Mus musculus: one gene and its partner. The protein of the gene in region 1 binds, or shares a complex with, the protein of each later gene. Links are inferred from orthologs where the notes say so. Each region holds a gene or a part of one and is shown in the gene's direction. Other genes may lie near its edges.

What was found.
Region 2: the proteins of Cast (region 1) and Capns1 are in contact, whole or in part, in a crystal structure (PDB 3BOW), measured with the Rattus norvegicus proteins. The link is inferred for Mus musculus from reciprocal best matches to the Homo sapiens genes CAST and CAPNS1. Residues at the interface, in NP_445747.2 of Rattus norvegicus: Pro652, Ile653, Asp654, Ala655, Leu656, Ser657, Asp659, Leu660, Asp661; in NP_058814.1 of Rattus norvegicus: Phe103, Leu106, Gln109, Leu110, Ile125, Lys128, Val129, Arg132, His133, Leu136, Phe166, Trp170, Lys174, Gln177, Lys181.

What each region holds. Positions count from the first base shown.
Region 1 is NC_000079.6:74,738,276-74,742,089, reverse strand, and holds part of Cast (calpastatin), read left to right. Parts: intron 1-672; coding exon 673-741; intron 742-2,154; coding exon 2,155-2,253; intron 2,254-3,791; coding exon 3,792-3,814.
Region 2 is NC_000073.6:30,192,073-30,196,654, reverse strand, and holds the start of Capns1 (calpain small subunit 1), read left to right. Parts: upstream 1-1,501; 5' UTR 1,502-1,649; intron 1,650-2,553; 5' UTR 2,554-2,568; coding exon 2,569-2,777; intron 2,778-2,906; exon of another isoform or gene 2,907-3,408; intron 3,409-3,454; exon of another isoform or gene 3,455-3,567; coding exon of another isoform or gene 3,568-3,611; intron 3,612-3,754; coding exon 3,755-3,788; intron 3,789-4,062; coding exon 4,063-4,152; intron 4,153-4,277; coding exon 4,278-4,335; intron 4,336-4,428; coding exon 4,429-4,493; intron 4,494-4,582. UniProt on the Homo sapiens protein: Regulatory subunit of the calcium-regulated non-lysosomal thiol-protease which catalyzes limited proteolysis of substrates involved in cytoskeletal remodeling and signal transduction. Essential for embryonic development.

The sequences.
Region 1 (3,814 bases):
GGAAAGTTAGCAGCTGCAGGAACTGCCGTAATTTATAGCCAAAGGAGAAAATATATGAGAAGAATCAAGGAAAGAACAATGAGCTACCAAGGCAAGTGACACAGTTGTCCTGGTGAGCAGAAACAAAGACGCAGGGAACAGAAGCTACCTCAGAAACAACTTGTAGGCTTTCAAGGCCCGGGACAAGTATGGTGGCCAGGCAATCCTGGTGCAGATCAGGGTTTTATCCCTTCCTCTGTAACCCAGGGAGTCACCTCATCTCCACTACTTTCCTTCCTATTCTCCTCTCCATCTTTCCCTTCCTAGCCTCTTCTGCCTCCCTTCCCTCCCCTCTTCTCCCTTCTCTTCAACCTCCATCTTTTCCATATACCAAACAACATTTTAATTGCCTTCTTCATATCTTTCCTTGGACTTATTATGTACTTAAACCAATCTATCACTTTATTTTCCTCCATGAGCCGGATCTCTCTAAGCTTCTCTTTCCTGTCACTAAACAGGCTTAATGTATGTAGTAGTTTTGAAGCATTTGCCATTACCGTCCACAGTTGATCATGGGACTAGTACATGATCTAGGCTATTAATACATGAATAGTTCATCTTGAATGTGTGTGTCATAATGCTGTTTCATAAAGGTGTATGAAAAGTTTTAAAGTCCTTTTAAACTCCCTCTAGAAAAAAGAACAGAAACCATTCACACCAGCTTCACCTGTGCAGTCCACACCGAGCAAGCCATCTGACAAGGTATGGAGCCAAAAGGCACTTCATCATCAAACATTTATCTCCTGTTGCCTGTCTCAGCCTGATTTCTCGTTGTTTTAAAGGAAAAATGTAATGACTTAAAATTTAAAAAGTTATGACTGAGTTGACAGTGTGGCCATCACTCTGTATTCGTACCATTTTATGGTACGAGCCTCTATTTTGAAAATTCTAGTTTTATTATACCAAGTTCAGTTATAGCTTCTCTTCTGGAAATATGTGTTTGTTAGCAACGTGCAAGGTTTCTTGAGGCTTGGCAAGTCTCTTGGTTTTAGAGTGGGGACATCAAGGGTTGTCTAAGTATTCTGTATTACCTCTCTATTGGTAAAGAATATAAGGTACTTTAAAAAAAAATCTATCCCCTCTTCCACAAGAAACCACAATAATAATAAGAAGGGGAAGAGTAGCCAAAGCAAATGTGCCCTAGTTTCTGTTACACCTATCAGTAATCCGCTAAATCCTAAAACTATTGTAGGATTGTGGTAATTCTTTTTTTTTTATTATTACATATTTTCCTCAATTACATTTCCAATGCTATCCCAAAAGTCCCCCATACCCTCCCCAACCCACTTCCCTACCCACCCATTCCCATTTTTTTTGGCCCTGGCGTTCCCCTGTACTGGGGCATATACAGTGTGGTAATTCTTAAAGGAAACCGTCAGACATATTCAGTGACACTTTGACGTGTGGAGTAAGTGCCGTACAGGTCATAAGTCAGGAACATACAGAGTCTGTGCTATTGGAAACAGCAGAAAAGATGCCCAAGGTGAGAAGACAGTGGCTGTTTTCCATGTTAGGAGCCTGTTCCGAGTGAGCTATCCAAAACTACAGAATAAGGTGACAGCAACTTCTCATTAATATGTTAAGTATATGTTGGCAAACTAAACTGGCAATTCATATGTCTTTAGGGTTGACCTCACATAATATCTCTTCAGGGTTGTCTTTGAGCAAGTCAATGAACAACAACAATGTTCATTAAAGAATGGAAAAATACAAGAATTAAAAAAAAAAACAATAGCTTCTTTTTGAAGGAAGTACTGTCTACAGATTTTGCTAGAATGAAACTATGGGTGATACTAAAAAGCAACAAGTGCCACATGGCTAATCCTTGCATTTTTTTTGTCTTTTTCCTCTTGACTGTCAGTACAGTGGTTTGGTTGCTTTTGTGAACTACTACATTTGTTGCTGTAGTTAATAATGTGGAATTTTTTTAAATGGTGATCTTTACCTGAATGTGGCTTTTTATTTTTCCAATTGAGAATTTCTTCATATTAAAAATGAAATACAGTTTAACTATTTTTGAACTTGGAAAAGTTACAGTATTTGATACATTTTAGTAGTTACAAATCACGGGAAATATATCTACAAAATAACATATCTTATCTCTTCTATTTCTAGTCAGGCATGGATGCTGCCTTGGATGACCTGATAGACACCTTAGGTGGACATGAAGATACTAACAGAGATGATCCACCATATACTGGACCAGTAGTTTTGGTATGTGTTGGATGACAGTCAGCATTCATTGTTAATGGGGAGGAAAGCAAATAAACCTATGGTATCAAGCATAGGACTGCATGTCATGTTCTGTTGATTATGTAGACGCAGGATGATGTCAGAATTGATATTAGAAACAAAAACTCGGGGGTGAGGGTGGAAATGGTCTGCTTTGTGACACTACACAGTTGCTATGATTCAGAATATGTCTGACAATGCTAAACTGGAACAGCTGACTCGGTCAGAACATCTAGTTTTCTGTCCTTTAGATTTGACGCAGTGGACTTGAACTTATTTTGAGTTTTAGATCCTTATGATCCTAAGTTAATCTATTCTTCATTTCCAAGGAACAATGTAATTTTTTTTCTGGTGTTAAAGATGTTGTAGCATAGATGAAAACATTTTCAACAGTTGCCATTAAAGTTGTTTCTATAGTTTACAATAAATAGAAAAACAGAGACAAAGACAACTCAGTAGAAAATTAAGAGAAAGTTGCTTGCACAATGAGCAAATAGTGTAAGGGTCTACCAGGGAATTAGGAAAATAGCATAAAGCATGGCGTGGTGCCTTTGGCTCAACCAGACTGCCAAAACTTTAAGAATCTGACAGGTCAATTTAGGCATTAGGTTCTAAAGAGGTGTTCCGTTCAGTCACAAACCCCACCAGCGAGACTTTGGAAATCTTGCCCCTGTGTACAGCGAAGGATATGGCAGAACACTTGAGACCAATGTGATCAATAGAAAATAGGAATGTGATCAATAGAAAATAGGGAGCTTTCAGTGCTTTCTGAAAGGAAAATGGCTTACTTATGTATCTACATGGATCTATTACAAAGCCATGATTTTGAATAAAATAAACAAGAGCAACAAAATGATACTATTTATATAGCTTTTGAAAACATGCAAAGTTATAATATATTTTGCTTATACATTTCTACATTTGCAATATTTTTAAATATTAAAATATTCTCAGCCGGGTGGTGGTGGTGCACGCCTTTAATCTCAGCACTTGGGAGGCAGAGGCAGGAGGATTTCTGAGTTCGAGGCCAGCCTGGTCTACAAAGTGAGTTCCAGGACAGCCAGGACTACACAGAGAAACCCTGTCTTGAAAACAACAACAACAAAAAAAATATATATATATACACACATATATATATAGTCTCCTCTTCAGCTTGAATTCAGTGATAAAATTACATGTACCACAGTATTAAAAATAAACCACAGGATAAATGAAAATATTTTTTAAAGTTACAAAGCATTTACTTCTACAGTTTATGAAAAATAAAAAAATACTGAGAAAAGGTAATTCAATAGAAAATGATAGAGATGATAGACTTAAAGTGCAGATGCTATCTCTAAAGCTAATTAAATAATTGTTAGTATGCAAGTAGAACTTTAAGGATAGATTTTAGCTTCTAAATGATTTATTTTCATCTCAATAGATACAGAAAAATCAATACTGGAATAGTACTTTGGCTTCACTTAATAGTCTCATTAGATTAACTGTATAATATGTCTTTATGTATGATTTTCTTCCAGGACCCAATGTATTCTACCTACCT
Region 2 (4,582 bases), on another chromosome or scaffold:
CCTGCCTGAGTCTTCTGAGGCCTGGGCATGTGTCATCATGTTTACTGTTGGTCTGAGGGCATGAAGCTGGCAGCCTCTTCAAGCCTTGGGTGGATGTGAGGACAAAGAGGTCTTCCCAAATGAGAGATGTCTGAGCTCTGGTCCAAAGTGGAGGACACAGACAGTCAAGTCCAAACACAGGAGTATTTGTAGGCAGAGGACAGGGCTTATGCCAGCGAGTTGAGCCTGAGGTCAGACTGCTCAGTGTGGCAGGGAGGGGTGTGGCAGAGAGGGAATCCACATTAGTCATCACCAAATGATTTATCCGCTAAGGCTTAGGCCTGGGTCGCCACCCTCTGTGCTCCCGCCTTTTAGAGTTTCCGGTTTCGACAGGTTAAATCTTGCTTCACACACACACACACACACACACACACACACACACACACACACACACACACAGGTTTGAGCAATGATTACCTGGCCTGGTCCCAGCAAGCCCTTAGGTGGCGTTAGTGCAATTACGGTCTTGTCTGCTGAGATCTTATTTGACTGATTATCATATTAAGTTATCGGAGATTCTTTGAACAGGTAAAGCAGACTGGTTGTTTAACCTCAGTTTACTTATACATAGAATGGGGACAATAACAGACCTATCCCACAGGCCTGCTTCGAGGACACACAACCTAGTGAGTGGAGAGTATTTAGGGACCGGCAGGTATTTGTCGATGTTGTTTAAGGATGAGCAAGAGTAAACGAGCTAAGGGAACCAGGTGAGCTCCCAGCTGAGGGAACAACATGGCGACATAGGGACTAACAGAAGAGCTGCCATTTACTATGTATTTATCACTTAATTCTGATAGGGGCTTACCCTAGTGTCCTCTAGGGTCTCATGTAGCCCAAGCCGGTCACAAACTTGTTATGTACTGAGAATGGCTGCCTGCCCTCACCTCCCAGTGCTGGTTTTACAGGTGTGTGTCATCACGCCTGGCTATGTTCCCGCCTTACACATGAGGAGGTCATTACTCAGAGACACCAGGTCACTGTTTTAGGGATGAGCAATAAAGACTCAAACCGAGGTTTATATAGTTCCTAGGGAGTGGCCAGACAGCCAGACTAGAAGCCCAACAGCGACCTGGGTGAGAGGCACAAACTGATGGTAAACTTAAGATGTAGATTCCTAGCATTCGGGAAACAGAAGCAGGAGGATTGTTTCAAGTTCGAGGTTAGCTAGGGCTTTAGGTCATCATTTAGAGGATGTTTAACAAACCTCTGTCTCAAAGTGCACAATGAATGAATGAATGAATGACAACTGAAGTCCTTTTTTGCAACTATATACTGCAACGGTGACCGGGTACCCTGTATCTAGTTCCTGGAGGCTCCAGTACCTGGGCGTTAGAATAATTTATTCGTACTCAAAGCTATTTAATCTGGACAGCGTTGAATTTCCAGCAGTGTGTGTATGGGGACGGATGAGCTAAGCAGAGACTTGCAACCATAACCCTCCCGCGCAGGCGCAGTCTGCAATGGAGGCTCTAGGACCGCGCAGACGACGGCTGGGTGGCGGCAGGGTCTAACCCGGAGTAGCTGCCTGAGTCACCGGCCCCGCCCTCCCGAACCGGACACAGCGGAGGCCCTGCAGCAGGCGAGCAAGACCGCGGACCGCCGGATCCGTAAGTGAGACGGGACACTCCAGTCCAGCACCCCTGCACCCTGTAGATCCGGAATCCGTAGTCCTCAGATCTGGCGAGACCCTAAAGTCTTGGCCCTTGGGGGGTCCTAGGACCGGTGTTCTCAGATTCGAACCATCGGGCCTGTCAGCCCCTCCAGAACACTCCTTACCATCCCGGATCTGACGACCAAAAAATATAAGCCCAAAGATCAGAGAGATACCCGGAAATTATTTTGGGCGTCTAGAACCACAATCCGAGATCGTGGTTCCCATTTGCGGTGGGAAGAACTCCGTTATCCAGGATCCTCCGGGCGCACAGCCATAATTTTTGGCCGGAGCCCACAGATCCCGTAGTGACAGTGTAGTCCCTCTGTCGAGAGTATCTGAATGTCTTAATCCACATTAGGAACTTCCTGGTCAGCCCTGGGTCATCCCTACCCTGAGCTTAATTTTGGAAGGCCTGGATCTGAGACACGTTCGGTTTTACACACCTTAGGGTTTCTACACGAGAATCCCCTGTTTTCCCGCTGCCTCAAGACAGGGTAAAGCAGGCAGGCGCTGTAGCCGAGGCTGGCCTTGAACTGGTCCTCCAGCCTCAGCCTCCCAATTTCTGGGATTACAGTAGAGCGCTACCACGCACGCCCAGCTGTACCCCTGTCCTCATGCCTATATATATGCAGTCAAGCCTGGGCCAGGGTACTTTCTAGACCCTAGGAGGTTTCACATCTCCTATCACCTGTCCAGACCCCTAGCTAGAGGCTCTGTCCCCATCTCGAGGCCTTAGTTTCCTCCCCAATCTAGTTGCCGGAAATGCTTGCTTTTTTTTTTTTTTTTTTTTTTTTTTTTGCGGGAAGGGCTGGGCTCCTGGCAAGGCCACTACCCGACCCACCCCTTTTACTTTACAGGACTCAGCTGCGATCATGTTCTTGGTGAATTCGTTCTTGAAGGGCGGCGGTGGCGGTGGGGGAGGCGGGGGTCTGGGCGGGGGCCTGGGGAATGTGCTCGGAGGCCTGATCAGCGGAGCTGCTGGCGGCGGCGGCGGTGGCGGTGGAGGCATGGGACTGGGAGGAGGTGGCGGAGGCGGTGGAACTGCCATGCGCATCCTGGGCGGAGTCATTAGCGCCATCAGGTAAGGCGGGGCCTGAAGGGGCGGGGCGGGCCAAATAATAAAGACTCACTTAGAGTCCGACCTGAGAATTCTTAATTAGTCTGGGCTGATCCATACCGGAAAACTGGCCCTAAGGGGATTCTAGCGAGGCTGGTGTCACTTTTTAGTACCAGGATTAGTAAACCTGCTTCTGTGGGTCAACAAATAGGATGCAGTTTCTTGGGGATAGGGGCTCTTCTGTGTTTGGGGAAGGTGCAATTCTATAGGATTGTATCCAGCCTTCACTGGGGGCGCAGCCAGTGGATCTAAGGCTGTCCATGGCTTAAGATTTGAGCGAGGTGGAGCTTGCTGTTTTAGGAGAGATCAGAGTCCCCAAAGAAGAAATGGTCCAGAGAAGGTTGTGTGGGGTCTGGAGCTGATTGGTTTAGTGGGTAAAAATCCTTTGCTGGGGTTAGAACAGGTGGCTGGCACCTATATCGTTGGTGATCCAAGCACTGATCCCTGGGAGGAGTAGGGGCTGATGGGGGGCGGGAGAGGTAGACGTTAGGCAGTTAGATAATCTGCAAAAGGAGCGATGGAGTAAGACTCTGGACAACTGAACCCGAGGAAGATGAGGCCTAGGAAAGCTGGTGCAGACAGACCCCCTTGTGAAGTGAGTTCTTCAAGGGGCGGGCCCTGCTAAGTTTGTTAAGGTTTTCAGGATTTTGATTGGGGCTAAGATGCTTCTGACATTGTGATTGGTGGGTGTTCCTGGGCAAGGAAAGGATTCTTCCGTGGGGTGGGCCCTTGGGAGGTGGGAGAGGTTGGCCCGATGGAGGGAAAGGAGGGGTCAGACCATTCTCTTGATTGGACCAGGTCAGGACGATGAGGTAGACGAGGGGAGGAGGGAACCCCTTAAGGAAGAGGAGGGCTGGAGTTTCAGGGGTTGGCTGACCGTTCTGCCGCCCGTTGGAGGCTCTGCCCCCATGCGCTAACTCAGCCCCCTTGTCTCCCCTCAGCGAGGCTGCTGCGCAGTACAACCCGGAGCCTCCGGTAAGCAGACCTAGAGACCCTTCCTCCTCAGGCCTGTTGCCCGCCTCATCTTCCCCATTCCTATGAATAAGGCTCCCCCTCCTTCCTTAGGAAACCCCCTGCCGTTAATAATGTCATTTTTTTGAGGGCCCCTAAGCTAAACCCTGGGTCTCAGCCACGCCTACTTGCTACACCTAATTCAGGTTCCCTGGCCCTCAGACTGCCCAGCCCTCTCTGACTTTTCCCTGGGACACTTGTTTCTCCATCTCTGTTCTGAGATCGCCTCTCTCTGCAGCCTCCACGTAGTCATTACTCCAATATTGAGGCCAACGAGAGTGAAGAAGTCCGTCAGTTCAGGAAACTTTTTGTCCAGCTGGCTGGAGACGTAAGTATCCTGCCTGACCGCTTGACTCTGTCACTTGACTGTGACAACCCGGAAGTTCCCATCCCGGTTTATGGTCTCCAGACCCTTTCCATCTCCCTTGAACTGTACTTACCTTCTGCCGTCAGGACATGGAGGTCAGCGCCACAGAACTCATGAATATCCTCAACAAGGTCGTGACCCGACGTGAGTGACCAGGGTCAGAGTGTGGTGAAGGTTTAGAGGCATATGGGCTGGGATGGTCTCTGACCTCTGACCTTCAACCTGTTCCCCCCTCAGACCCGGATCTGAAAACTGATGGTTTTGGCATTGACACTTGTCGGAGCATGGTGGCCGTCATGGATGTATCCTTTTGGGGCCAGCCTGGAGAATGCCTTGGGTGAAGAGGGTCTTCTGGGAATATGTTGAGGACGGCCAAGGTGAAAGCCTTCAT